Elephas maximus indicus: one gene and its partners. The protein of the gene in region 3 purifies or fractionates together with the protein of the main gene of each other region. This does not show direct contact. Links are inferred from orthologs where the notes say so. Each region holds a gene or a part of one and is shown on either strand. Other genes may lie near its edges. The genes, in order: C1QBP, NAP1L4 and MAGED2.

Region 1 (10,143 bases), on a different chromosome or scaffold from region 3:
TTGGGAGTCGATGTCAGTTCAGGCTGGGGAAACAAGCGGTAGTCAGTGCATGCTATTGTTTGCAGGCATTGGCTGCCTGCACCAAACGTCTGACAGCCACCACTATTATGATATCATTTGTCTATTTTTATAGTCTTATGCTCTAAACCCATTGCCATCAAGTTGCCTCCACCTCATAGTCTTATACTATAGTGTCCCCCAATAAGAAACCTAGAATCTTTAACAATACTGTTAAAGCCACATACCAGTTCATTCAGGAGACTGGCCTAAACTCTCCCTGTTGGTCCCTCCTACAGTTCTATACCATCTTTTAGATGGCAGAGGATCAAACACTTAGCGCAGGGCTTAACTTCCCATTAGCACCCTACTCGTTTAAAGAACACACTAGCTTTAGAATTAAGTAAGCTAGGTCCCAACCCCAGCTAAGTGCCAGTTAACCGAGATCTAGGTAAGTACCTTCCTCTCCCTGGTCTGTTTCTCCATCTATATACACTGCAAAGCTGACCTAGGGCTCCAAGATCTCTCTCCAGCTTGAGTGTCTCGGGAGTCTTCCTTTTCTAGCACCCAGCATCAAGGCTGGTTCAGCTGGCTCACTGGCCATCCCAATGGCAGGATGAAGGCTACTGCTCTCCCTTTGCTGTTGAGCCCGGGGAGCAGAGTGAGTCCACGTGCTGGCTGCAGTGGCCAAGACAGAAACACACCAGGCAGCTACGCTGTGCCAGGCCATAAAACAGCAGAGGCCTGCTTAGTGAGAAAGTCTGGGGACCCTGGGGCCTTGTTCAGGCTTCCCAACATATCTGAAGACTGGGCACCACCCAGGTCCACATCAGCCTAAGGGAAGAGCTCACCTTGCCAAGTGTTAAATAAAACCTCTGACGCACCTGGCTTGCTACCTTGGTTGAGGTGACTGGGTGTTTATTACCAGCCTGTGACATGTTAGTAACATTCCCTCACCTGAAAACACTCCAAATGATAATCTCTGACCTCAAACATCTCCCCATTGTGGGAAGAGTTAAGAAGTTTCAAATCCTTCCATCAAGAGAATTTAGGCCAACTTTTGGAGCCTGAGCCTACAGATGGTCATGTATTCAGTACCTGAGAAGGAAAAGGTCCCACATGGCCCCAGTGCCAAAGCTGGCCAGAAACTGCTGCTCTACAAAAGTTCAGGAGGGTTTTCCTTTGCCGTCTTTTTCTGGCATTGAGTCAATTCAGACTCATGACAACCCCATGGTGTAACAGTAGAACTGTGTTCCATAGGGCTTTCAACGGCTATGATTTTTCAGACATAGATCACCAAGCCTTTCTTCCAAGGCTCCTCTGGGTAGACTTGAACCTCCAAATTTTCAGTTAGCAGCTGACAACTTAGCCTTCTGTGCCACTCAAGGCCTTTTAGGAGTTAAAACAAAAAAGGAACTGCTCCTTTGTAGTCTGCCAGAAATCCCAGGGAAAGGCTGGTTACAGTGTTACAAGCTTACCTCTTGTTCTTCAGCCTTCTGCTCTTGTGAGGGCTCCTCCTCCCCACTGAATGTTGGTGGGATGCTATTGTTAATGTTAAAGGTGACAGTGATCCTAGGAGGGCGAAGGAAAACAACAGGCACAGTGTAACGTTAACTTAGTTTAATTCACAAGTATCCAAACCTGCTGTAGCCAGCAGCGCTTGCTGAAACAATGTCTGTACCCTAGCTGGCTATACATCTGAATTATGTGCAGAACTTCCAGAAAAGCCTAGGTACCTACACCCAACCCTGAGAATGATTCAAAAGGCCTCAAGTGCGTCTACTTTGTGCCAGCTGCTGGAAGTCAAACTCATGAGCCCTAGTCCATCATGGCCAAATACAGTCACATGTCGGCTACTTCCAACAGGCCAGCATCCCAGGGCTCACTGCCCAGCTGACACTGCCTGCCCTAGTCTTTCCCCGGCACTTTCCTGATGGAGGTGGGCAGCTGAGAAGTCGGTGCTCCTTTAAGAGCTTTCTCCATCACAAAACCTGCCCCTGGGAGGAAAAGCGAGTGAGCACTGGAGTTACATCAGCTGAGGACCACTTGCAGCCCTAGCCAGGAAGGGGGACTTCACCGGGAACATGCTGCAGGACAGACTCATTCTCCGCTGTGCTGTGGGAGGCCAGGAAACACTTTAGTGAAGCGACAGAACACACAATTCATCTGTGTACAGCTAATGACAATCTGAAGATGCAAGCAAGCACGCTCAGCTGACAATCACATTCCAAAATCTGAGTCAAAGTTCCAGTGATGCTAAATCTGGAAGTAGCAATCCTGGGCTGCACACTCCAGCAGGTACTGTTCCCATTTGCTTTACAGGAAGGACACCTCTCGGCACACACTAATAGGTGCCCCTGGAGTGGTGCTAACTGGCTGCTTTGCCAGGAAGCCATTTTCCCATAGGAACAATGTGGTTTGAGGTTCAACCACAAAATCTACCTCATCTGCAGTAGTGTTAGGCAATAAGCTGAGCTCCTGGGCACACAAATGCATGACATTCGCTGCAGTTTTATTTATAATAGCCAGAAGCTGGTTACGGCTCACTATCCAACTCCGAAGGAAACAGTTTAGGTGAAGTGACAGAACATACAATTGATCTATGTATGGCAAAAAGCAACTATACCCCCAGGCAAAAAAAGAATCAGTAGTCTGCCTCACAGGTATAAATTAACTCAAGACCAATCACCAACCTAAACATAACGGCCAAAACTACATAAAACTCAGAAGAAAACGTAGATATAAATCTTGGTGACCTTGGGTCAGGCCACTAAAAACAGAAGCAAAAAAAGATAAACTGGACTTCATCAACATTAACCTTTTTTATGCTTCAAAGAACACCATCAAAAAAATGAAAATCTAGGGAATGGGAGAAAATATTTGCAAATCATATATCTGAGAAGGGAACTGTATCCAGAATATATGAACACGCAAATCCATAGAGGCAGAGAGTAGATTAGTGGTTACTAAGGGGAGAGACGTCGGATGGGGAGTGACTGCCAATGGGTTTGGCTTTTTTGGGGGGGGGTGGGGCAGGGTGGTGGTGAAAATGTTCTGGAATTAGGTAGCGGTGATCAAGGCACAACTTTGTGAATGCTAAAAGCCACTGAGCTGTATACTCTGGGGAAGAAACCAGAAGACCCTAAATGTTTAGCCGTAAAGTGGGATTAAGGATGACTACATACTGCAGAAAAAGAATTTAACAGTTAGGAATGGGGAGGAGCTGAACTAGGTCAAAAGCTGCCCACCTGTGAGTGCAGCCCTTACTATATTGTCACCCAATCCTGTTACCTATAAATTACATATCTTACTTTTTCACCTACTGTAAACATTCAGAGAGCAAAGTGCCTGGCTTTACTCAGACACAGAGCCAGCCCGGCAGGTTATTAGTCAGCACCGTAAACCAGAGATCACTGACTGTTTTAACAGGAATATAAGAATTTCTGATTTTGCAGGCCTAAATTTAGACAGGGCATGGTCTCTCCACCAGCAAAGGTTTACTGCAGACTGCCTTTACTGGGCCAATAGACTTCCAGTCACACGCTTTTGTTCCACTTCCTTACTGTCTCCTTTGTAACCAGCCCACAGCAAATTTGTGTCCAGTGAATGACCTGAAACTTAGGAACTTGTCCAGATGCACCCTTCTCTTTCTCTTGAAAGTTATGTATCAAATTACCTGCCTTAAACTCAAGGCTGTTCTGGAGTAGGCCCAGGGCAGCTCTTGCAGGGTCCTGGATTTGGCCCCTGGAGTTCCCAAGCACTGAGCCTGGTACTTACTTTTCCCCAGCAACTTTCCGCACTAATTTAGCTTCTGTCCCATTCACTTCCAGCTCCCAGCCTCCAGACATCTTGGGGAGGGACTTATGTTTCTGGATTTTCTTCTCCTCCTTAATTTCATCATTCAGGAACTCAACAAATGCTTTGTCTCCTAAAATGAGAAACCAGATGACACAGAAAAAAAAAGTCAATCAGTCTAAAAGCATCAAACAATGACCCAGGTTACTGCAGCCAGATATCTGGACTTGGGCTGTCTCTAATGTCTTTGCTATCGACGGTTGCTCTGGGAATTTAGTCCAATTCACTTCCTTAAGCCTCATTTGTAAAAATTCCATAACGGTCTCCGTGGGAAGCTGAATTCGAGTCTGGAGAAGTGATTTCCAACAATCTCATGACCACGTTTCGCCACAAAGCAAAGAACGCCCGACTACCTTCCTGAACTTGTCAACCGACATAACCATGCTGCTTTCAACCACAGCCCTCGGCCTTCCTAAAGCTCAGTTTTCGCGGGACTCAGGATAAAGGCGGCGCCCAGGGCTTAATGCTCGCTCTCCCGGGTGGGGTGCGGGAACGTGCTGCCACGTGAGCTCAGCCACCCGTGCAGCTCATCAGTGGACAGAACGCTCGGCGCTCCGGGAGGCGGCTCCAGCAGCAGGCTCCCGGCCTACACTCGCCCTCCCCCTCCCCGGGCCCCCGGAGCCCCCCATGTCGGCCCCGGATCCGGCCCCACCTTCAGTGTGCAGCCCACCGCAGCCGCAGCCGCAGGGCCCGCGGGGCCGCAGGAGGCCGGGCCGCCGCTCCGAGCCCGCGCGCACGCTGAGCAGCCCGAAGGGCCGGGCGCAGGGCTGGGGCGCCGGCTGCAGCAGCCGCCGGAGCGGCGGGAAGGGCGCGGCGGCGCGGAGGCCGCCCACGGCGGAGCCCAGGGCGCGGGGCGCGCAGCGCAGTAGGGGCAGCATCACCGACGCGGAAGCTGCGGCGCGACACGTGCCGATGCGAAGGACAACTGGGGCCAAGGGGCCCCCGGACCCAGCGCGCCGCCGGAAGTACCGCCTTCGCACGGGAAGCGCTTCCCGCGTCGCCGCTTTAAAGGTCGAAAGGCTCGTGGGCCGTGCAGCGCCCCCTTCTGACGGCCTCCGGTTCTGAGTCGACCTGAGTAACGTCCAAGTCTGTATAAATGGCCAGCATAAGTTGTGGCCCGCGGATGCTAGACTCTCCGAGTTTCCATCTACTGTTTTCAAAGCGCGACAGGACTAATAGGACTTCGTGAACACCCCAACTCCGAAGTCACCTCCTTTAAGAGGCCTTCCTGGTACCTCATCCTCCCTCCCACCAGATGGTTAACTCATGCCCGTGCGCCCACAGCCCGTGGCTTCACTTTTCCTTCCGCAGACACCTCCTGGTACTGCTGATGGACCTGGCCGCCTCCCCTCACTCCCGCGGGCCAGGGTCTGTGCCCTCCCTCCAGCCTCGCACCCAAGCTCTGAACATCATTGTTCTGGAGCAAGAAGCTATGGTTTGTATCAGATTCAGGTTAGGAATCACCCACGGGATGTATAAAGTACCGAGAAAGTATGTCTTCCCAAATTAGTGAGAAAGATTAAGACTAATTACTTGGTATATTCTAAACAACCGTCCGTAAATAGGGAAAGGAGACCCAAGAAAGAAGCCACACACATCATGTACAAGGTTGATTTTTAATGGACTTGATAGTCATGTGCAAATTTAAGCATTACATATGCAAGAGCTGATGTTTCTATAGAGCTGTTTGAGCAAGACCAGACTCAAAATGCAACATAAACCCAAACCATTTTTTTTCTGACTCGTTTTTTTGCAAGTTACAATATTCTGATCAAATAAAATAGAATAAAATTCTTGTTTTGAAGCAAGCAGAGTTGGGGATCTCATACCACCAAGAAAGCACCACGAGAGTGTCGTTTGGACCTGGGGTCACTGCGCCTGAGAAGCTCCTCAACCATGTGAAGATCGAGGACGAGGACCTTCCTCCGGAGCCAACAGAGAGAGAGAAAACCTTCCCCTGGAGCCGACACCCTGAATTTGGACTTTTAGCCTACTATACTGCAAGAAAATTAACTTTCTTTGTTAAAGCCAAAAAAAAAAAAAATTCTTGTTTCCCCACAGGTGCGGTATTTCCTTGTATGTTTAAGGAATGGTATCTGGCCAATTTCAAGCAGTTCCTGGTAGCTGGATTGAACAAATTTACCAGTCACAGTACGTAACGAGTTTTACCCCAGAGCAAATGTTTGCCTCTGTCCGGCTACCTTGCTAAAACCAGCACAGATGCAACGTCAAGGTTCTTTGCTGCCCCCTCAGGACCCACTGTTTGCAGTGCTTTCCCTTGTAGTGAAACCTTTCTCACTTCGGATGTCTCACAGTTTATGACCAAGAAGAAGGCCTGAGGGTGCGAAACGCTGGGAGTGCATTTATTTACATGCCGCTGCTCAGGGGAGCTAGTGACTAGTCCAGATGTGGATTTCACTGGGTGGAAAAGAAGTCTCGCATCATCAGAGATTTTATCAATTGAAAAAAGTCCCTCAGGACGATACTGCAACATCATTGTGAAGCATTTTAACTTTCTTAAGAAAGTCTAAGTTTAAAGCATACTACTCCCTGCAGCTCAATAAAAATAACCATTTCTTTCTTTGTAGTAATACATAGGAGTCAGAATGGGTTTTCCAATCTGATTTAATCCCTGAGCAACCAGGTTAAAAGTTTTAACATCTTAAAAAGCACGATAAAAACCTAAATATTAAAACTCTACCAGAATGTTAGTGATAAAAGTATTTCTATACAGAAACGTTAAAGCTACTCAGAGGCGATTTATACTCCCTTACCCCTTACTCCCACTCGGAAAACGGTATTTCTGGAAAACTTTCAGGTACTTAAGCTGGACATTATCTACATAAAGTTTTGCGTGAATCAGAGAACACCTCTAGTTAGATAATATGCTGAGAAATATAATAAATCACCCTACCCCTAATTTTTTACCATCATGATGAATGTTTTATTAGAAATATAATGTTTTCTTTTACCAAGTCAGGCTAAACACCCTCCTGCCTGCTGGCACTCTATAAAATACATGGGAAAAAAAAATTTTTTTTTTTCAGAAAGTTAGCAATGGTAAAAGCAAGTAGTTCTGAGGAAGAGCTAGCTAAAAATTGTGTCTCTTAGCTGCGGTCAAGTCGGCCCCCAACTCACGGGGACCCCCTGCCCAACAGGACTGGCCTGTTGTGACCCGTAGTGTTTCACTGGCTGATTTTCGGCAGTGGATCACCAGGCCTTTCCTCCTAGTCTGCCTTAGTCTGGAAGCTCTGCTGAAACCTGTTTAGCATCACAGCAACATGTAAGCCTCAACTGACAGGTGAGTGGTAGCTGCACTTGAGGTGCATTGGCCAGGAATCGAACCTGGGTCTCTCACATGGAAGGTGAGAATTCTACCACTGAACCACCACTGCCCTCAGCTACAAGTCTAAGAACGCAGTGAGACAGGGTGTACAGGATCTGTCAAATTCTGTTTGGTGTAAATGTAGCTATTTCTAATAGAAATAAGTCGCAGGTGCCCCGACAGCCCCTGAACACAGGTTAAATGCTTGAATGCTCAAGGGTGGAGCCGGTGTCATAGAAACTGATCTGGCCTTCACGTGCACAACTGGGGACAATGTGGGACTGAGGCACTCCGTTGGGCGTGGTCTCACGGAAGAGTTCCTTGACCCAGACTGAAGAGACTGTCCGCTGTCTTTGAAGAAGATTCTAGGCACAGTTTGGCCCCATGCCTGTAAACTGCATGATTCACTTTGCGATTTTAAGAAATGACCAAATTCTGCACAGATGTGTTTAGACCAATGAAGCACAATTAAAGAGCTTCTTCCAGGACCGAACATTCTCTGGGGAAAGATTATTTGCTTTTGATAACTGCATACCTAAGAAGAACCTTTGGTGTCTTCTCCCTTCTCAAAACATGGGAACAGGAAGACTGTGCAGGTCTTCCAATTCCCTCTGATAAATGTGGAAAGTGAGGGCAGGAGTGGGTAACAGGCACAGTTAAGAAGTGGCAAAGCCAGATTGTCCCCAAGTGCCTAAGAAGAAGGAAAAAGATGACAGAAAATAAATAAGCAGCAAGGAATATAAAGCCAAGATGTGGACGGGATGAGCCAATGCCCTCTGGGTTCTCATTGGCCTGCAGCTACACCACCGCCACCCAGGTTCTCGGAGTAAGGGGTCCTGCCAGAAGAGAAATGGCTGAGGTATAGCCCAGAGCCATTCCTTATGGTGACATGCTTATATGAGCCCAGTCAGAGAGAAAAAAGACAACTGGGTATGCTGGGAGCCATTATACTAAAAAGTCAGTTTCTGACGTCTATACTTACAGGATTCAAAAGATACAAATCAACCTTAGCTCAGGAAGCTGAAATGTCTCCTAAGAGCACTGACAGGAGACATGTACTACAGAGGCACCAAAGATGGAGACTTCCTGGAGCAGACGCAGCCTGGCGACCTGGGGGCACTCCCTTACCGGTCTCTGTGGAGACAGCAAGAGGGAGGCCATACCCTGGGCAGTGGGGGGCCACTGGGGGCAGCCATCCCATGAGGTCAGAGACAAAAGCACCTCCCTCTGGAGACTTCTACAGAAGTCAGTTTCTTATGTTTTCTATTTTAAAACTTCAGATAGAAATTAAAGTAGATCTAAGGACAACATCCAAGCTCTGTGACCTCCTACGGCCCCTCTCGGAGTGTCCCCCTCACGGTCATAAGAACTCATGGAATTTTGTTGTACTCAATTCCCATCATGTAAAAAGCAATAATGGCTCACAATTTATTGTATGTCTATTGTGTCTGTCGTGTGTGAGACACAGCTCTAGGTACTTTCCACTCATTTTCCCCTAACTTCATGACCTGGACCCTGAGAGGAAGTATTATCATCATCATCCCCACTTGGCAGATGAGGAAACTGAGGCTCAGAAATTAACTAAGTCGCCCAAAGTCAGCTAGCAAGAACCAAAAGCATAACTTTGAAGTTTACGAAGTATAAATGGCCTGTATACTTTCTACATGGTAGAGTCATAAAAGTGTAAACAAAGACGCCTCCAAGCTCCTGGAAGCTGGGTGCACCAGCTCTATGAAACTCATGTCTCTCTTAGCGCCGGCCTAAGAGACTGCTAGGAGGACAGATGTGAGCCAAGCTCCCAGGCAAGCAGCAATTCTGGCAGCGACTGGGGTGGCTCAGTTCCTGGCGGTTCTCAGCTTCCTCCGGAAGTACTCAGGGGCAGCCTCGTACAGCCACTCAGCATCCACGACGCAGAGGTCTCGCATGTAGCACTTGTTGGTGTAGAGCAGCTCGGTGTACACGACGCAGGCCGGCTTGCAGTGGAAGAGGACAGACGAGGGGTGGATGGCCACTGGCTGGTGGGTGTCTGTGGTGGCATAGGTGCCGTCCGGCTGAAGTTCCGCGGTGCTCATGAAGAGGCTGTGTGCCAGGCAGCGACGGATGCTCTCCGTGTTTCCTCGGGATGACACAACCGGCACTGACATCTGTTTCAGGAGAAAGCAAGAAATGGAAAAGATCTCACATGTAAACCCTGCTCACCACAACATGGTGTAACAATGCAAAAAAAAAATTTAAAAACCAGGGTGCACACACACACATACACAGAGATAGGTGCACACACATAGAGACAGGTGCACACACATACGCAAATGCACACACATACATACAGAGAGATAGGTGTGCACACACACAGAGATAGGTGCACACACACATACACAGAGACAGATGCACAAACACGTACACAGAAAAAAAGTCCAGTAGAAGCTACTCCAACCTTAACAGTGGTTAGCCCTGGAAGGGCAGGACTATGGGAGACTTTCAAACTTCTTGCATTATTTGTCACTATTTTCTGCATTGTTTAACAAATACTTAACAAATACTCATTTGCTTTTATAATCTAAAAAAATAATATATTCCCACTAAAAAAATTCTTATGAAGCATTTTAATAATAGTGGAAAAACACTTCATAAAAGCATTTATAAAAGCTGAGTACCAAAAAAAAAAAAAGCTGAATAAGGATTATACATAAATGTAACTACATGAAAAAAAAAATGCACTTAAACAACATGGCTATCAAGAAAGAAACCAAAATAGTGAGATGTGGAATTGTGGGTAATTTTTACTTTCTTCCTTATTTTCCAATTTTCCCACAGTGGTAACTACTTTCATAATCACTAACAATAAACAATTAAAAAAAAATCCTACCTAGAAAAAAGTGACAGCTTAGTCCCCCAGGGAATGGCAGGAAAGAACAATACCTTTAAGCAGATATCCCTCAGCTGTGCTCTGACTTCCGCGACCAGCA
Region 2 (9,946 bases), on a different chromosome or scaffold from region 3:
TCTGCTCCAGGAGGGCAAGCCTGTCTGCTTTGTTCAGTGCCGCAGCAGCCCAGGACCTAGAGCCGTGCCAGCACGTGGAAGGCCCAGGAACACTTGCTGACTCAGTGAAAAAAAGACACAAAACACTCCCAGTAACAGTGGAGTGAACAACCAACATCTTCTCAAGGGTAGTACTCGTTCCCACGCGTGTACAACTGAAACACCTTTAGTCCCAACAGCTCACAGCACAGACCTGTGAGAGCAGATCTAAGGCTACAGAGTGAGTGGTCCAGATCAGCAAGGAAAAGTTCGCGCACAAAGCCATCTTCTGTCATGTTCATACTGCAAAAATCCATCGTCTCTCCTGCTACTAAAGGCTCAGGAAATTTCAAACTCAATGGCAAACAAAGTAAAACAACCCTGCTTACAACTTAATTGAGCAGACGAAAAATCAACGACTCTCAAAACAATTAAATCTACATTATGACGAACCATTTTTTAAAAATTTCAGAATGGTCAAAAGCCTTCACTATCCATAAAAGTTTTCCACATACCCTGTGCTCAACAGGAAGGAGATGCTACAAAGTCATCCCAGACACTTCAACTGTAGTTTAGGCAGGCAGAGGGCACAACCACCATTTACTGTTAAACCGTGTACGAGGTGTCGGCGCAGGAGGCAGACCAGGTGAGAGCCAGTTCCTGCAATGATTCTGCATCAGCCACTTTCTGCTCCTGAAGTCACCACAGCTGTGCAAGAGTCAAACCAATTATCAGCCTCTTATTTTTTTTTTTATTCAAAGTAAGAGCTTTAAATAAATAAAATAAAAGGGGAAGCACTCCTTTGACAGCAACACTAGGCCACCTGCTCCAAGCAGTCCGCCTGCCTGCCTGAAGCCCCACACTTCACGCGGCCTCCAGTCCTTGGGGAACTTAAATCATCCTCTCGTTCACAAAGTGTCTGTCTTAGAAAACAAAAAAACCTAGGTTCCCTGGCAAAATCTAAGTGCACCATAAACATACCCAACAGTTTTTAAACTGATAAAGGAAGTGCATACACCCAAAGGAAGATAAGAAAGAAAAGCAACTTTAAAAATAAATAATTCTGAACTCTATTTACACATTGGTATTTGTATTTCAACCCCAATAGTCAGTCAGAGAAATGCAGATACAGGAGACCAATATGCTCTCTACAATAAACGGTTGTAAAAACCCTGACAGGTTAATGAAAATACTTAAGCCAAAGTTTCAAGTACAAACTCCAGGCTGCAATGTGGTGCTAAACACATTCTATCTTGAAAATATCTCCACAGAAGCATGAACTAACTCACACAGATAAAAATCTCTAAGCTCAAAACACTAGAGAATCTGATAATCTAAATGGCCAGTTCGCAAAATCAAAATGCCCTCCACGTTTTCAGAGGACCACTTACTAGTATTAAAAATCCTTTTCAGGATTCAGCGTAATGAGCGTATCAAACCTGAGAATGGTCAAATCAGCTCTGACAAGGAATTCAATTTCCCAATCGTTACTCTGTATGAGTTATGAAAAACAGTGCAGGGCTCAAGGCTTGTAAGACAAAATGTAGAGCAGATGTGTTCAGATGCCATCTCGTGATACGCTCGTGGAGATAACCTGCTGACACTCCGCATCAGTAACACCGATCAACTAGGAAAAAACAGGCTGCAAACACCCTATGGCACAGGAACTACTGAACTCGGCAGGGCAACGCTCAAACAATTCATAAAATCGTACCATGAGAAGAGGCCTTAAGATTCTGGTGAAAATGCCCCCAGGCAAACTTGAGAAGGCTGCACTCCCTATACCTGTTTCATCTGTAAAACGAGTCCCTTTTTGTCACTATAATTCTATACAAGTTTAACTTTTGCAGTAGCGTTTTTACTGACCAAAAAGGTATTACTTTTAAGATTCTCTCAAATCTCAGAAAAATAGGGTAATTTACCTCCAAAAAATGAAAGTCTTTTTCTAGTCCCCAAACAAGGAAGCAGCTAATAAACTGAGGAAACTCATTTTCTAGGGCTTCTTTCTCTTCCCAACTCCACTTCAACAAGTGAGCTAGATAACTGATTTTTAAACCATCTCCCCGGTCTTTATTTTTAGTCACTCACTTAATCTTTGGAATATTTCCCTACTTTATCACCACTGTCCTTCCCTCCTTTGAAGTTCATTTTACATTTGCCTATCAGTTATTCCTCTAACAACTGCTAATCCCAATCTGAAATCTCCAGATTCTACCACGGGAAGCATTTCGTACTCTGTGGATCTTTCTGGAAAACAAGAACCAGCGCAAATCCTCATAATCCAGGCTTCAGTTAGGTTTAGCTCACCAATGGGGACCTAATTCTCCATTAAAACGCCTTTCCTTCCCTTTAGGAAAGCGGTACATCTGGGCAAAGTTAAAAATCGAAACTCAACAAACCCAGTGGAGGTATCCAGGTGAGATCAAACACAGCTTCTGGAGAAAAATTGCCTGGGTATTAATCCAAGGTCTCTCAACTTGGACAAGTCACTAAACCTAACCTCACTGGTTAATTGAACAGGAAAAAAAATAGAAGCCATCTTACAGGCCACTAGGAAATGAACTAACATGCAAAAGAGTGGAGAGCAGCCCCTGGCATATGATAAACACTAGTCATGAGAAGTTATCACTACGTCAAGGGCAGTAACTTTAAAATACCTCCTAAACAGCAGAGCTAAGAACTTACCCTGTGTACCCGTTCAGCTTTAATACAGAAGTTTCCACAAGCCTGTTTCTACACAGTACACTAAGTACAGGCAGATGAAAAGAGACTCCTAGGGCTGTGAAGCTGGGAAAGTGACTCGGCGTGGGTAGGTGACCCAAAGCCTGGCCAGATACGTCCTAAGCTACGTTGGATCACAGAGTCCTTTGAGATCGGGGAGAGAACGATGGACCTTCTTGCCAGACACATGAACATTCACCCACACATGTCAAGTGGCACAATTCGGGGGGTCTGAAGGTTTTGAATGCGGGAATGAAAATTTCTGACACTAAGCACCTCCGCCTCCCTTATCTCGATCAGACTTGCGATGCTACTGCCGAGTTAAGGAGAAGGATGGAAGGTGGAAGGAAGACCTCGTCCCAACCAGGCAATCCTTGGCTGCCGTGAACAGGAAGCACTCAATAAAAAAAGGAAGAGATTATTTAAAAAAAAAAAAAAGTTACTTAATCGGTAAAAACATACACCTGTGTAGTACTAACCCCCTTTGGGCAACGTCAGAGTCATTCCCAGACCCTCTGTGCACGGCAAGTGGAACCTTCCCATCCAGGGCGTCTAAGCCTTGCTCGACTCCTCCTCTTTTCCTCGGGAGGAAACATCTTCTCTCCTAAAGGATGGGTTCAACCCCTAAAGCAGACCTGACGCCTGCGATGCCGGGGTAACTGAAGCGCCACCGACCGTCCTCGGGGCACCCGCCTAAGGCGCCTGAGCCCGCGGCCTTCCCAGCAGAGCACGTGTTGCCCAGCACCCCGTTTCTGCCGCCCAGCACCCCGTTTCTGCCGCCCAGCTCCCCGCGGCAGCTGACCAACACCACCGAGATCTGCGCCTGTCGTCGAGCGGCCCCAGCCCACCAGGCGCTCGGAAACGAAGCTCCGCCGTTAGCCCGCCTCCAGCCACCCGGGCCCGGGCCGCACCAGCCCGCGGGGAAGCCCACGCTCGGGAAGCGAAGTCCCGAACGCGGCCTCTCGACCGCCGGGGAGCCTCGAGCCGCTGCCCGGCCCCGCCCGGCCTCGGGGCCGGCACGTGAGGCGGCCGCGCTGGCGGGAGATTTGACCGCACCAGCTCCGGGCGGGAAGCGGCCCCGAGGCCCTCACCTTCCCCAAGGGCACCGTCGGCGGAGCGGGAGCCGCGCGGCCACCGCGGACCCGGCCGGAGCCAGACGACCAGGCCGCTGACCTTCAGGGCCGGCGGCGGCGGGGGAGGGGAGGCCCGGCCCGCGGTCCCGGCGGCGCTCGGCCGCGGCCGCCTCCAGGCAGGAGGCCGCGGGCCCCGCCCCTGGCCCCGAGCCGCGCGGCCCCCACAGACGGCGCCCGCGGCCGGCCCGCCGCGCCCTTCTCCCGCCCGCCGCCCTGCCGGCTCCCGCCCCCGGCAGCACCGTTACCCGGCCAGGCCCGCACCCCGCGGCTCCACACCTCACGCCTTCTGCGGCAGTGGCGGCGGCTGCGGCGGCTCCTCTCGCTCCGGCTGCAGCGCCGCCGTGGCCGCCAATAACGCAGCGCCCCATTGGCCGAACCGCCACCCGGGCACCTCCCTCCAGAAGCAAGACGGGCTGCGATTGGGCCAGAGCTGCGCATGTCAACCGCACCTCGGCGAGGCCGAAGGAGACCAATCAGAGGCGGCAGAGCGGGCGCCGCGCTTGGACTGCGCGAGCCGTATGCAAATGAGACGCGTGACCGCGCCCCGGCCGCGCGCGGCGCTCCTCTCGCCGGTTTAAAGTGTCGGCGCCGCGGAGCACGTGGGCGGCTGGGGCGCCCCCGGGCCTCCACCTCCTCGGGCGGCTCCACCGGGCGTCCTGCTCCGCCCGTGCGCAGCCCGCGCTCCGACGCCTCTCCCGCCCCTTTCACGGGACTGGCACCGCCCCTCCCAGAAAACGGGATGGCGTCCACCCGTCACACGTGGTCCGCGCCCCGTGGGCCCGCGCCCTACCGCGCCGCCCTCCGCCGCCGCCATCCCTCGGATCTGCCGCCCACCCTGTCCCTCCCCACGTGTTTCCACCCGGCCTCCTAGCTCGTGATTCCGCCCCCTCCCCCGCGCCCCTGCTCGTGCAGCCCCTTCCTGTAGTCGCCTGGCTCATCCCGCCGTCAGAGCTCCGCAGGGGGCGTCCCCTTCCCCCGGGACCCTGTCTCATCACTCCATTCTTGGGGTCCAGTTACCGTTCAGGGCCCAGGCGACAGGTCACCTCCTGCGGGACCCCAGGCCGGGTGGAGGCCCATTCTGCACCTGCAACAGTGGGGACTGCCTACTTCGTGTTGGGGGTGGGGGGCGGTCTGCACCCCAACCCCTCTTGTGCTTTGGGCTCCTGGGCACAGCCTACCCCCCCCCGGGCACAGCCTGCCCCCCCAGGGCACAGCCTGCCCCCCCCCAGGGCACAGCCTGCCCCCCCCAGGGCACAGCCTGCCCCCCCCCAGGGCACAGCCTGCCCCCCCCAGGGCACAGCCTGCCCCCCCCCAGGGCACAGCCTGCCCCCCCCCCAGGGCACAGCCTGCCCCCCCCCCCAGGGCACAGCCTGCCCCCCCCCCCAGGGCACAGCCTACCAGAGCAAAGCGAGGTGGGCTCTCTGAGGGGCCCCTGGCGCTCCAGGAAGCTGTGGGGTATAGGTAGGGGTGACCCTCCTCACCTTGCCCTATCCAGTTCTCTCCAGCCTGTGGCTGGGTTGGGACTGGGGTCACGAACCCCACACTCTCAGAATCACAGTTTGTGGAGAAACACTGAGCTAAAACCAACGTGGGCAGGATGACGATGTGGTTGGAAAATGTAAGTCCCAGCTGCCAACTATTTGCTTGCGACTGGCTTATCTCCTCATCTCTGGGCTCTCCAGTGTGGCTGTGGGTCTTTAACTATTCTTGCCCATCTTTCCAGAAATTTTTCCTTGGGTGGGGTTGCTTTGGAAAAAAAAAAAAATGAATTTTTTTCCTCCTTTTTTTTCACCAAATCTTTCCTAACCTGTGCTGTTTACAACAGGGAAAAAGAAGAGACCCTGTAAAGGCTCTGAGTTGGGAGGTTGTTAAGGACATGATGTAGGTTAAAAACCTCAGAGTGACCAGCTCCTGCCTTTGGTGTGACCACACATGTGAGCTTGGCTCAGCTGTTCTGAGTGTTGGGGGTGGAGGGGGAGTGTCCCAATTCCTATCTGCCTTATTTGGATTTTCTGACTTGTCTGAAATAACCCTACTTTACTTTTTTGGGGAAAAAAAAGCATAAACAGCTGAGGAAACTACAAAAGAAAAGAACCTAAGCCTTTTCAAGTTTCCTTCTATTGAATAAAATTTCAAATCCATTTAAAGCCTTCAGGTCTGTCTGAGCCTGAATTTTGGGGGGAGGCGGTGGTGGGTGATGATCCCCAAAGAAGCCGTGAGGGCGTGGAGGCATCGAGGTGGTTAGAGCCACCTCGGAGCTGGCCCTCGGAGCCGGTGGGAGCCAGGGTAAGGGGGCTCACATGGGCAGCTGGGCCTGTTCCTTGGGGATTCTGTAAGTGGAGCAGCTGTGAGTAGGGGCTTCTCCCTGGGGTCACTCCAGAGGTTTGAAGCTCTCTGTTGTAGTGTCCTGTGCAGGCTGAGGCAGTTATAAAATGGGGGCACTGCCTACTTCACCACCCACCCATCTGTCAGTCTGTCATACTGTGGTGGCTTTCATGTTGCTGAGATGCTGGAAGCTATGCCACCAGGTGGGCAGGTTTCAGCGAAGTTGACAGAGTAAGACAGACCAGGAGGAAAGGCCTGGTGATCTACTTCTGAAAATTAGCCAATAAAAGCCTTATGGATCACAGCAGAATATTGTCCAATCCAGAGCTGGAAGATGAGCTCCTCGGCTGGGAGGCCCTCACGATACACAGTGGCTGCAGCAATGGACTCCAGCGTACCAGTGATCTTGAAGATGGCACAGGACCAGGCAATGTTTCAGTCTGTTGTGCGTGGGGGTACCATGAGTCAGAGCCGATCTGACAGCAACAACACTGAGCTTTGCGGGTGGGAGAGAGTTAGAACAACATTGAACCAGTGGTCAGTGTGATGGGGGTATGGGCTGTTGTCAGTATCTCGCCGCCTCTGTGGGTGGCCTGGAAAGAGGAAGTGAGAGAAGGGGGCTAAGCACCGAGAGCACAGGCTTGAGGTCAGGGCTACAGCCGGGTCTTTCTCTAAACCAGCTCCGAGGCCCTGCTCAAGCCAGTGCCATGTGACTCTCAGCCTGGATGGCGCCCCTCAAGCTCTCTGTTCAGGACCAGTGCTGTCCAGGGTTGACCTGTGCGGCAGGAGCAGAGACTACCAGGGCCTGCCCAGCCAAGGGCATTCCTGGAGCCAGAGGGGCAGAGCCCTGGGTGTGTTTGTGCCCTTGTGCTCCCTGGAGAGAGCAGACCAGCCCGGGTGGGGGTGGGAAGGTCTCGGTGTCCAGGCTGCAGGGGTCCATGCCCCCAGCCCTTGTGGGTTTGAAGGAAGGCCCCATGAGCCTGAGCATGCACCTTTTGGGATTATGAATGGTATCAACATTCTCTGAGCCCACATCGTCCCTTCCTCCTGCCACTGGGGTCCAGCTGGATGGCCATCTCCCCTCAGAGGCCCTCCCGGCCCCTCCCAGCTATGGCCACATCCCCCTGCCTGCTGCTTTCTTGGCCCCTGTTCACCGATGATTGCCCCTGCCCCACCACTAGCAGGAGAGCCTTGGCCAGCTTCCGGAGGAAGTGATGTTCTCGCTGACACTGAGAACCAGGAGGAGAGGCCCAGCAGGGCCAGGGAAGGCGCAGTGTTTAGGGCCAGGCACCTGTGGAGGCCTGGGGGGAGGGAGCAGCACAGTACACCCCAGGAAACACAGATAGCTCAGGGTGGTGTGTGTACCTAAAGAGAGCCCTCTGGGGAGCCCTCCAGGGAGGTGAGGCCAGAGCAGGTAGCAGGGACAGAGATTCACAGTGGGAAGGGGCAGGCAGAGTCTCAGCACCCTCCCCTGCAGGCAGGAATGAGATGCGGGTGCCCTGCTCCAGACCAGGATCAGAGTGGCTGTCAGCAGGATGCCCTGACACCACCCTGAGTCCTCCTGGCCTGGGTCTGGCACCTCTCAGTGGTCTTGGTCCTTCAGCAGTGTGATGGTTAAGATCATGTGTCAACTTGGCTGGGCCATGATTCTCAGTGTTTTGGCAGTCATGTAATGTTGTGATCACTTCCCCGTTGAGATTTGATATGTGGTCACCGCCATGATGGGATCTGCTGTGAATAGCTAATCAGTTGGAAGGGAGTTTTCTTGGGCGTGTGGCCTGCACTGAATATAAGCGAACATTCTGGCAGGGCTCAGGGTCTGCTTGCTCTGGATCCTGCGGCTGGGTCCTGTTCATCTGACCTCCGGTTCTTGGGACTTGAACAAGCAGCTTACCTGCAGTCTTGCCTCCCGATCCTGGGATTCATTGATGTTCCCGGCCTGTGAGCAAGAACCCTGCACTCTGATCTGCCAATCTTGGGTTCAACAGTCCCTGCGGCTACTTGGATCAGGAGACGTCTCTATCCTGACCTGCAGACTTGGGATGTTCCAGCCTCTACAACCCCGTGAGCCGTTTCCTTGATACAAATCTCTCTCTATGTATATTTATGCGCTTTACTGGTTTTGCTTCTCTAGAAAACCCAGCCTATGACAAGCAGAAACAGACATGAGAACCCAGGCATCGGCCTCACATGGAGCAGCCCTCTGGAACCTGCAAAGGACCTGTCTGTGTGGGTTGAACTGTGTCCCGCAGAAGAAACGTTGAAGTCCTAACCCTGCACCTGTAAATGTGACCATATTTGGAGAACAGGGTCTTTGCAGATGTGGTCCGTTAATGAGGTCATACCACAGTAGGGTGGGTCCTGGCCCTCTATGACTGGAGGGTCCTGAGAGAACAGACGTGGAGATAGGGTCACATACAGAAGGAAGACAGACGCCATGTGACGACGGAGGCAGATATATTCATAAGCTGCAAAAGATGCCAAAGATCACTGGCAGCCACCAGAAAATGGAGTGCCGTCTCCCTGGCCCATGGTCATCCATGGCCCTGTCCCAGGGGAGTCACTATGGGGCATAGGGGTGTAGACCACACCAGGTGACACTGTCAGAGGGGGTGACTCCAAAATGACTGTCTATAAAATTTCCGTACAGTGTTTCAGCTTTTATTATTTTTTATAAAAGCATCTCTGTAGTTATAATAACAAAAACATTTTTTGTTAACCCAGCTTACGTGTATCAATATACCCACAAGGCTAAAACTCTATGCTAATTTACTTTTTGAATCTTCTGATGTGTTCTGGTCAGAGCTGTCATTATTATCCAACTACAATGATGCTTCGAATCACGTGGTTTCGTCTGCACACACTGCTGATTTTGTTGCTGCGTGTTTTTATGTTGTTGTTGTTAGGTGCCGTGGAATCAGTTCTGACTCACAGTGACCCTACGGCCAACCGAACGAACGAAACACTGCCTGACCCTACGCCATCCTCACAATTGTTGCTATGCTTGAGCCCATTGTTGCAGCCACTATGTGAATCCATCTCACTGAGGGTCTTCCTCTTTTTGACTGACCCTCTATTTTACCAAGCATGATGTCCCCCAGGGATTGGTCCCTCCTGATAATGTGTCCAAAGTATGTAAGACGCGGTCTCGCCATCCTTGCCTCTAAGGAGCATTCTGACTGCACTTCTTCCAAGACAGATTTGTTTGGTCTTTTGGCAGTCCATGGTATATTCAATATTCTTCGCCAACACCACAATTCAAAGGCATCAACTCTTCTTCGGTCTTCCTTATTCATTGTCCAGCTCTCACATGCATATGATGCGATTGAAAATACCATGGCTTGGGTCAGGGGCACCTTAGTCTTCAGGGTGACATCTTTGCTCTTCAACACTTTGAAGAGGTCCTTTGCAGCAGATTTACCCAACGCAATGCGTCTTTCGATTTCTTGACTGCTGCTTCCATGGCTGTTGATTGTGGATCCAAGTAAAACGAAATCCTTGACAACTTCAGTCTTTTCTCCATTTATCATGATGGTGCTCATTGGTCCAGTTGTGAGGATTTTTCTTTTCTTTATGTTGAGGTGTAATCCATACTGAAGGCTGTGGTCTCTGATCTTCATCAGTAAGTGCTTCAAGTCCTCTTCACTTTCAGCAAGCAAGGTTGTGTCATCTGCATAACGCAGGTTGTTAATGAGTCTTCCTCCAATCCTGATGCCCCGTTCTTCCTCATATAGTCCAGCTTCTCGGAT
Region 3 (9,643 bases):
TTCATTGCAAATACCTTTTTTCAACAACATAAATAGCAACTATACACATGAACCTCACAGTATGGAATACATAGGTACCAAATTGACTACATCTGTGGAAAGAAATGATGGAAAAGCTCAAAAAAGTCAGAACAATGCCAGGGGCTGACTGTGGAACAGACCATCAACTGCTCGTGTACAAGTTCAAATTTAAGCTGAAGAAAATTAAAACAAGTCTATGAGAGCCAAAATGCGACCTTGACTATATCCCACCTGAATTTAGAGACCATTTCAGGAATAGATTTGATGTGTTTAACACTAATGACTGAAAACCAGACAAGTTGTGGGATAACATCAAGGATGTCATACATGAAGAAAGCAAAAGATCTTTAAAAAGACAGGAAAGAAAGAAAAGACCAAAACGCACGTCAGAAGAGACTCTGAAACTTGCTCTTGCATGTAGAGCAGCTAAAGCGAGTGGGAGAAATGATGAAATAAAAGAGCTGAACAGAAGATTTCAAAGGACAGCTTAAGATGACAAAGTAAAGCGTTATAATACAATGTGAAAAAGGCCTGGAGTTAGAAAACCAAAAGAGAAGAACACGTTTGGCATTTCTCAAGCTGAAAGAACTGAAGAAAAAAATTCAAGCCTTGAGTTCCAATATTGAAGGGTTCTGTGGGCATCAAAAGGATGTGGAAAGAACACACAGAATCACTGTACCAAAAGGAATTGGTCAACACTCAACCATTTCAGGAAGTAGCATACGATCAAGGACCGGTGGTATAGAAGGAAGAAGTCCAAGCTGCACTGAAGGCATCGGCTAAAAAGAAGTCTCCAGGAACTGATGGCTTACCAATTGAGATGTTTCAACAAATGGATGTAGTGCTGGAAGTGCTCACTCATTTATGCCAAGAAATTTGTAAGACAGCTATCTGGCCAACCAACAGGAAAAGACCCATATTTGTGCCCATTCCAAAGAAAGATGATCCAACAGAATGTGGAAATTATTGAACAATGTCATTAACACTGCACAGAAGTAAATTTTTAATGAAGATAATTCAAAAACAGTTGCAGCAGTACACCGACAGGGAACTGACAGAAATTCAAGCTGGATTCAGAAGCAGATGAGGAATGATGGACATCATTTCTAATCTCAGCTGGATCTTGTCTGGAAGCAGAAAATACCAGAAAGATATTTACCAGTGTTTTATTGACTATGCAGAGGCATTTGACTGTGTAGATCATAACAAATCACAATAATATTGCAAAAAATGGGAATTCCAGAACACTTAATTGTGCTCATGAGGAGTCTGTACGTAGACCAAGAGGCAGTCATTTGAACAGAACAAGGGCATGTTGCAGGGTTTAAAATCAGGAAAGTTGTGTGTCAGGGTTATATCCTTTCACCATACTTATTCAGTCTGCATGCTGAGCAAATAATCTGAGAAAGCTGGACTATCTGAAGAACTCCACATCAGGGTTGGAGGAAGATTAATTAACAACCTTTGATATGCAGATGACACAGCCTTGCTTGTGGAAAGCTAAGAGGACTTGAAGCAGTTGCTGATGGAGATCAAACATTACAGCCTCCAGTATGGATTGCACCTCAACATAAAGAAAACAAAAATCCTCACAACTGGACCAATAAGCCACATCATGATAAACGGAGAAAAGATTGAAGTTGTCAAGGATTTCATTTTACTTCGATCTACAATCAACACCCATGAGAGCATATGAGAGCAGTAATCAAGAAATCAAATTACAAATTGCATTGGGCAAATCTGCAAAAGACTTCTTTACGATGTTAAAAAGCAAAGATGTCACTTTGAGGGCTAAGGTGTGCCTGACCCAAGCCACGGTATTTTCAATTGCCTCAGATGCATGCAAAAGCTGGAAATGAAAAAGGAAGACAGAAGAAGAGTTAATGTCTTTGAATTATGATGTTGGCAAAGAATATTTAATACACCATGAACTGCCAGGAGAGCAAAGAAATATGTCTTAGAAGAAGTACAGCCAGAATGTTCCTTGGAAGCAAGGATGACAAGACTTCATCTCACGCCCTTTGGACATGTTATTAGGATGGATCAGTCCCTGGAGAAGGACATCATGCTTGGTAAAGTAGAGGGTCAAAGAAAGAGAGTAAGACCCTCAACAAGATGAATTAATACAGTGGCTACAACAATGGGCTCAAGCATAGCAACGATTGTGAGGATGGTGCAGGACCGGGTGATGTTTTGTTCTGTTGTGCATAGGGTCGCTATGAGTCGGAACTGACTCGATGACATCTAACAACAACAACACCTTACAAGATTGTTCTGAGGAATGAGTCAATGTACAAAGAGCAGGGAAGATGTGTGTTAGTCCAAAAAGTGGGTGGCAGATTTCCTCATTTATGGAAAATTTAGCTTTTATTTAACAAAATGGAGCCATTACGGTTGTGGAAAGTTGCCCTCAGGGCTTAGAGTGATACAAAATGAATTAAATTGCTTTGCATATAAAAGGAAGGAAAAAGCTGAGATTCCACCAGCAGCTCAAGGGAGAGACTGGACATGGAAAGGAGGGGAACTGAGAAGTATGTTGGGGGAGAAAAAGGGCTCAACAGGAATGACGGGTGGGGCTCAAGGAGAAGGAACAATGGTGGGAACGGTTGAGGAAATTTCTGCAACAGGAAAGTCTGATGTTCAATTTTAAATTGGTTGCTATACTGTGCTGTACAACTGTCATTCTCCAAGATCCATCTGTTTTTTGCACAGGCCGAATACTTGAAAGGGGATGTCGTGGAAATCACCACCCCTGCAACTTTTAAGTGGATGGTGGCAGTAATCTCTGCAGTCCCTCCAGGAATGCGGTGTTATTGGTTTACCATTTTCCTTAGACGGCGTAGTGGTTAAGAGCTATGGCTGCTAACCAAAATGTTGGCAGTCAAATCCACCAACTGCTCCTTGGAAACCCTATGGGGCAGTTCTACTCTATCCTATAGGATCTCCATGAGTTGGAATCTTCTTGATGGCAATGGGTTTTGTTCGGTTTTTTGATAGCATAGATACAGCTGGTCTCCAGGGCCCTTCTCTGGGCCCCATCTCTTCTAACACTACAAATTCCTCCTGGTTGCTCTTTCCCTTCCCATGAATTAAAGTGCCATTCATATATTGATGATGCCTACATCTATAACCTCAGCCCAGACATCTCTCCTGAGCTTCAGACACGTATATTCAATGGACTGTGGAACATTTCCACCTGGATGTCCAACAGGTACCTCAGAATCAATGTTCAGTTCCTCTTAAACTCATTCCATTCCTCCTTCAGCATTCTATGTCTCAGTGAAAGGGATTACCATCCAGTTTCTCAAATCAGATCCCCAAGAGTCCTCTTTGACACCTTCCCCCTCCTCACCCCTCTCTCCATACCAAGCCTAGTTGCTTTTTTTATTTGTGTAGTATCTTCTTGATTCAATCTCTTCTCACTACCTCCACTGCTACCACTCTAGGCCAAGTCACAATCATTGCTCACTTGGATGACTGCAAAGGTCCTAACTGCTCTCCCTGTTTCCAGGAAGACATCTAATCCATACTCCATACAGCAGCTAGGGTCTTCTTTCTAAAACATAAATCTATGTCATATCCATGCCTAACCCGTTGCTGAGTTGATTCCAACTCATGGTGACCACATGTGTGTCAGAACTGTTCTCCATAGGGTTTTCAATGGCTGATTTTTTAGAAGCAGATCCCCAGGGCTTTCTTCCAAGGCACCTCTGGGGGGACTCAAACCTCCAAAGTTTCTGTTAGCAGCCAAGTGCGTTAACCGTTTGCACCACCCAGGGACTCCATTGATTCCTAGAACTCTTCAATAACCCCTCTGGGCTGTCAGGATCAAGATCAAAGTCCTTACCCTGGCATTCAAGGCTTGCCATGATTGGGAAAAGATGGGAATTTGGGGGAGCCAGAACTGGAAGAAAAGGAGGGGTTGTGCCTGTGTGAAATAAAGCTATGTGGATAAGGGAGAGAACCTAGGAGGCATGAAAGTTATGAGCTGATATGACAAACTTGGAGGAAGCAGCAATTCAAAGAGAAAGAAGACAGGAAAAGAGAGGCCCACCTTGAATTCTTGGGAAATGTGTTTGTGTGTGTGTTGAATTATCCATAGATCATAGGAACTCATGATATTGTTTAGTAAAGGAAACAGTGACTTCATAAAGCATAAGGACTTGTAGCCATTTGAATTACATATGGATGTAGGAAAGGTATTGAATATTGTTTCCGTAACTGACCACTGTGCTGAATTTTATTATTATTTCTAATAGTTTTTAGTTGATACTTTTGGGTTTTCCAGGTAGGCATTCATATAATCTGTCACTAAGGATAGTTTTGTCTATTTTCCATTATTTACACATCTTATTTTGTTCCCTTTAAAAGACTTATGTGAAATTAATATGGTAAAATCGTCATTTCAAATCAGTAGGGTAAAAGATGGATTAGTTTGCATATGGTGTGGGGATAAGGGATTACGACTGTGTAAAATAATAAAGTGGAATCCCTACCTCACTCCTCATACTAAAACAAATTTTGGAATGATGAAACATAAATGTAAATAATAAGGCCATGAAAAGTACTTGGAAAAAACAAAGATTTATAATATAGAAGTGTAGATAGCATCTCTAAGCACAATGAAGAACCTAGATGTGATCAGGAAAAAAACTGATATATTTGACTACATAATTAAACCCTTTTATACAGCAAAAATTATCATAAATAACATGAAAATATTTGTTATATATGTGACACATAAACATATAAGAATTATTGTTCATGGGAATATTATTTCATGAATCTTTTTGGGAGTAAGTTGACAAATTATATTAAAATGGAAGACTTTTTTGTAGGACTTGAGTTAAAAAATACCGTAAATAACCAAATATTTGTAATATATATGACATAGAAACATGATAGTGTTGTTGGGACTATTATTCAGTTTAATCCATTTGGGGAACAAGGCTGCAAATCTTGTATCAAAATGGAAACCTTTTTTTTTCTAGCATTTGACTTAACAATTCCACTTCTATAAATTTATCCTACAGATACAAGCACAATTGCAGAAATATACACATATAAGGATGTTCTTTGTAGCCTTGTTTGTAATAGTAAAAAAAAAAAAGGAAACAATTTAAATGTCCATGCATAGTGGACTGGTTAAATAAATTAGGAGACACCTATACAAGAAAAGATTATACAATTGTTCTAAGAAAAATGTGTAGTAACACGGAAAGATGTTCAGACTATGTAGCTAGAAAAAAAAACAGGTCACAACAGTAGGTATAGTGTACTATTTGTGGGGAGAGAACTCAAATAATTAGTATATGAATAGAAAAAAATCTGGGGGAATGTATATCAAAACGTCAATAGTGGTTATTTCTAGGGGATACGATGTGGACAGTTATTCACTGGTATATTACATATTTCTGCATTATTTGAATTTTCACAACGCATTACCTTTGTAATAAAAGAAAATAAAGATATAAAAATAAATTAATTCAATGAATTAATTGCTCTGAGGGGTGGTTTTGGTTGGAAGGGCTTCAGACCAAGCACCGTACAGTGGCATAAAGACGCGCTTTGGCGTGAGACAGCCCTGAACCGGGCCCCATTGCCCCACCTCCAGGAGGGCGAAGTGGGGGAGGGTGGCAGGGGGCTGCGGAAAGGGGCTGGGCTGTGCTTGCTGCAGCTCTAGTCCAGGAGGCTGAGACTTCGAGAGGGACTGAGGGAGAGCAGACGCATCCCAGACTCGCGGAGGACAAGGTGAGAGGCGTTGGGATTGGGGTTCCCTGGTAGCCAGACTGTAATTCCGGTCCTCTCCATAGCCAGGCAGGTGGGCAATTCTTACTGCACCCCTGCAGCTGGGGGAGAGATGACCCTGGGAGAGAGTGGGATGTAGGCAACAAGGACGACTGAGAGAGTAATAGGCTGTGTGGACTGGGAAGCAGCGACGAGAGGGGAGAAAAACGGGGAATCCGGCATCTTGGGTTGGGGACCCGGGATATGAGGGGGAGGGGAATACCGAGGGGGAATGTAGATCCAGAGAAGAGATGCCGAGAGGGGTTAGGGAATAATGGGGGGGGGGAGCACGTTAAGTAAGGAGGAGGAGGATGTACGAAATGGGAATAGGGAATTTGGTGGGGCAACAGAAAAATGCGATGGGGGAATAAGGAATACAGAGCAAAGCGGAGGGGGAGAATTAAGAATGAGGACCGGGGGAGGGGCAGACAGGCTGGGACGGAAGCCCCCTAGGGAGGCGGAAAGGGGCGGGTCCACTTCCGGCAAGGAGGAGGGAGGGCAGTCTCCGAGTTTCGGAGGGGCTTGGAGAGAGCGGACGCACTCGTAGGTTGTAGGAGAAAGAGGTGAGCAGGGGGTCCAGCTTTGGATCAGAGCCGGTAAGGGTTGGCCTTACTCTCTGGGAGCTGGAGAAAACCTGCCGTAAGGAACGGATCATACCGGATCCGTCTGGTAAAGGAGGGGACTGATCCAATTTGGCTGGGCCCAAGATAGAATCACTAATACTTATTTGAGGAGGGGGTGTATTAGGGAAGGGGCGGAAACAAAATGCGCTTTGCTAGAGTTGGGGGGGACGTTTTATGGAAAGGGGCGGGACCTGGAGGCACTGTTGGTGAAGGGGGTGTGAGTTGGGTAGGGGCTAGGATCACCAGGCTCTGTGATAGTTCGGAGGGAGACTTGCTGGGGAAGGAGCGGGCCAAATGGTACTGTGGACCTGAAGAGGGGCGTGTGTTGGGAAGGGTGCTGGACTGAGACGGTGAACGATGCGCATGTGTAGTATGGATCTCTAGAAAGGGGCGTGTAGAGAAGGGCCTGCACGGGGAAGCGCCAGCTGCTGAATGCGCATGTGCGGGGTGGACTTCGAAGAAAGGGCTTATGTAGGGAAAGCGGGCGGGGCTGAAATGGGCCCAGCTGCAGACACGCATGCGCACTAGCATGCGCACTATCGACCTTCACGTTCGTCTCGGGTTGCTTTGGGAAAAGGGGCGGGGTCCTCAGAGCTGCCGCGCTGGCACATCTTCTGGAGAAGGGGAGGGTGCGGTTGTAGAGAGTTAAGACCTTAGACGCTCTGGATTCCTGTGTATGAGAATGGAGCCGTTGGAGGGGTGGTGGAGGGGGGAGACTTGGGATTGGAGTCCAAAGAAGGTGAGGATCAGCCTCCAGGCAGAATAGGGGAGAGGATGTTCAGTGTTCTTTGGGAGCTCCCCTTGACCCAGGCCTTCTCCCCTTCAGGCTCAGCTCTTGCCAGGCCAACTTGAGACATGTCTGACACAAGTGAGAGTGGTGCAGATCTAACCCGCTTCCAGGTAAGCTCTCTGACCTCTTCCCAGCTTCCTTCTCCATCCCTTGTTGCTGTCCCAAATTCCTTGGCCTCTCCAGTCCCATCCTTGTTCTTCTCCATGCACTTCCCTGCCTGGGCTCTGTCCTCTCCCATCTCTCCCCCAGTGGAGAAAGGGAGGGAGGGTCCTCCCTTCTTTGGTAGTCAGTTCCTGCTCAGAGGAGGCCTTGGTGGGCTGAGGTGGTCAGAGAACATTGCAGGTAGGAGTTAGTACAGGTCACAGAAGTGCGGCTATGGAATTTTGGAGCCATTTGCCTAGTTGAGGGTGGGGAGGAGATCTGTGAGCTTCCCTGCTTCCTCTTTTTGCAGGCTGAAGCTTCAGAAGAGGACAGCAGCTTGGTGATGCAGACTCTACTGGCAGTGACCCAGAATTTGGAGGTCTCAGAGGCACCCAAGGCCTCAAAGACACCAGGGGTCTCACAGCGCCTAAAGGTCTCAAATGCTCCAGGGGGTTCAAAGGCCATAGAGGTCTCAAAGGCCACAGTGGTCTCAAAGGCCCAAGAGGCTCAGGAGGCAGCTGTCACCCATACCTCACCTACCCCTCAGCTGACTGATACCCAGGTTCTGGTAGCTGAAAACAGCAGTCCAGCAGCTGACACCAAGATGCAGAATGCTGACCTGCAGGGTGTGCCAATGCCTGCCACTAAGACCAAAAAAGTCAGTTGTGTGGCTAATACCCAGGTCAGTACAAAGTCCCTGGAGACAGAGGTTGCTGCTTCTCAGGCTCCCACAGATGAACCTGAGCCTAAGGGTACAGCTACTGAGACTCAGGAGAATCAGGATACTCGGCCCAAGGTCAAGGCCAAGAAAGCCAGAAAGGTAAGAGCTCTGCAATCACTACCCTTGCCTTTCCAGAGTTACTAAGTTGCCTGTGTTCATCAAAGCCGTAGGGCATACTGAGAGGAATGTGATATAATTCTTGTCTTCAGAGAGCTCACAGACTGGTGGGAAGATGACACATGAATATGCAGAGCTGCAGTCTGAACGTAATTTAGTTTATATTTACCTAGTAGCAAACATAAGTTAGGCCTTGAGCTAGGCACGTTCATACAGGTTATCTCATTAAATCTTGAAAGTAGATCTTACCAGCTAGGGATCATAATCACAGTTTTAAAGAGAAGGAATCTGCCTCCCACAGAGGTGAAGTGATTTGTCCAGAGTGATGCAAGCAGAGCTAGTAATGAACACAGGAAGAGAAGAAGCCTCAAGCCCCACCCTTGGGTTGTTTCTGGCCTGGTTGGGAGATAAAACTGCCTGGAAGACAGTGAAAGACAAGCCTACGAGACAGGGTAACAAATGGCTAGTGAGTCAGGGCATTACTACAGGGGTGGGATTAAGGGGGCTTCCTGAAAGAGAGGGCGAAGAAAAAGGACCATCTGCTCCACTTAGTCATGTCGAGCCTCTTCTTTGTTGATGCAGGTGAAGCACCTGAATGGGGAAGAGGATGGCAGCAGTGACCAGAGTCAAACATCTGGAAACACAGGTGGCCGAAGGGTTTCAAAGGCCCTAATGGCCTCAATGGCCCGCAGGGCCTCAAGGGGCCCCATAGCCTTTTGGGCTCGCAGGGCTTCAAGGACTCGGTTGGCTGCTTGGGCCCGTAGAGCCTTGCTCTCTCTGAGGTCACCTAAGGCCCGTAGGGGCAAGGTTCGCCGTAGAGCTGCCAAGCTCCAGTCATCCCAAGAACCTGAAGCACCACCGCCTCGGGATGTGGCCCTTTTGCAAGGGAGGGTAAGAACTCTTGTCCTCTCCACTACGCCTTTTCCACTACCTTACCTGTTTTCTTCTGTGGCATGCTTTTAAATATTTTGCCAACATATACTGTTCTTCCCATCATCTTTCCTAGGCAAATGATTTGGTAAAGTACCTGCTGGTTAAAGACCAGACGAAGATTCCTATCAAACGCTCAGGTAGAGTCCTGCTTATTTCCTCCCCAACCCCAAGCTCTGCCCTCCTTTGCCCTCCCTTCCATGTGCTAGGGATAATCCTTGCTCTTATGTTCCTACGGCTGTGCTCCCAAAGTCCTAATTTGTCCGTGTTAGCATCTTTATTCATTAGCCCAGAACCCTGGCTATGCCACCCACAGCAGCGTTGGTAAAGGGCCTATAGCTTGGGCATGGGGGGCTTCCTGGCTTTTCTTGAGCCCAGGTGCTTGTAACACTCTCCCCTTGCAGATATGCTGAAGGACATCATCAAAGAATACACTGATGTGTACCCTGAAATCATTGAACGAGCAGGCTATTCCTTGGAGAAGGTGAAGGGGCAGCCCTGGGGGGTGGGCAC

The links.
Region 1: the proteins of MAGED2 (region 3) and C1QBP purify together in Homo sapiens (affinity purification with mass spectrometry; 3 studies listed by BioGRID and IntAct, counting the BioPlex papers as one, with this or other methods). This does not show direct contact. The link is inferred for Elephas maximus indicus from reciprocal best matches to the Homo sapiens genes MAGED2 and C1QBP.
Region 2: the proteins of MAGED2 (region 3) and NAP1L4 purify together in Homo sapiens (affinity purification with mass spectrometry; 3 studies listed by BioGRID and IntAct, counting the BioPlex papers as one, with this or other methods). This does not show direct contact. The link is inferred for Elephas maximus indicus from reciprocal best matches to the Homo sapiens genes MAGED2 and NAP1L4.

What each region holds. Positions count from the first base shown.
Region 1 is NC_064837.1:15,102,062-15,112,204, forward strand, and holds the start of C1QBP (complement component 1 Q subcomponent-binding protein, mitochondrial), read right to left. Parts: upstream 4,820-10,143; 5' UTR 4,731-4,819; coding exon 4,505-4,730; intron 3,926-4,504; coding exon 3,775-3,925; intron 1,570-3,774; coding exon 1,476-1,569; intron 24-1,475; coding exon 1-23. Other genes in the region: ATP-dependent RNA helicase DHX33, read right to left, coding at 9,013-9,321, 10,097-10,143.
Region 2 is NC_064825.1:134,918,509-134,928,454, reverse strand, and holds the start of NAP1L4 (nucleosome assembly protein 1-like 4), read right to left. Parts: upstream 4,230-9,946; 5' UTR 4,118-4,229; intron 1-4,117. UniProt on the Homo sapiens protein: Acts as a histone chaperone in nucleosome assembly.
Region 3 is NC_064846.1:113,001,324-113,010,966, reverse strand, and holds the start of MAGED2 (melanoma-associated antigen D2), read left to right. Parts: upstream 1-5,680; 5' UTR 5,681-5,772; intron 5,773-6,284; exon of another isoform or gene 6,285-6,371; intron 6,372-6,398; exon of another isoform or gene 6,399-6,477; intron 6,478-7,064; exon of another isoform or gene 7,065-7,170; intron 7,171-7,257; 5' UTR 7,258-7,286; coding exon 7,287-7,331; intron 7,332-7,672; coding exon 7,673-8,182; intron 8,183-8,782; coding exon 8,783-9,091; intron 9,092-9,206; coding exon 9,207-9,270; intron 9,271-9,534; coding exon 9,535-9,614; intron 9,615-9,643. UniProt on the Homo sapiens protein: Regulates the expression, localization to the plasma membrane and function of the sodium chloride cotransporters SLC12A1 and SLC12A3, two key components of salt reabsorption in the distal renal tubule.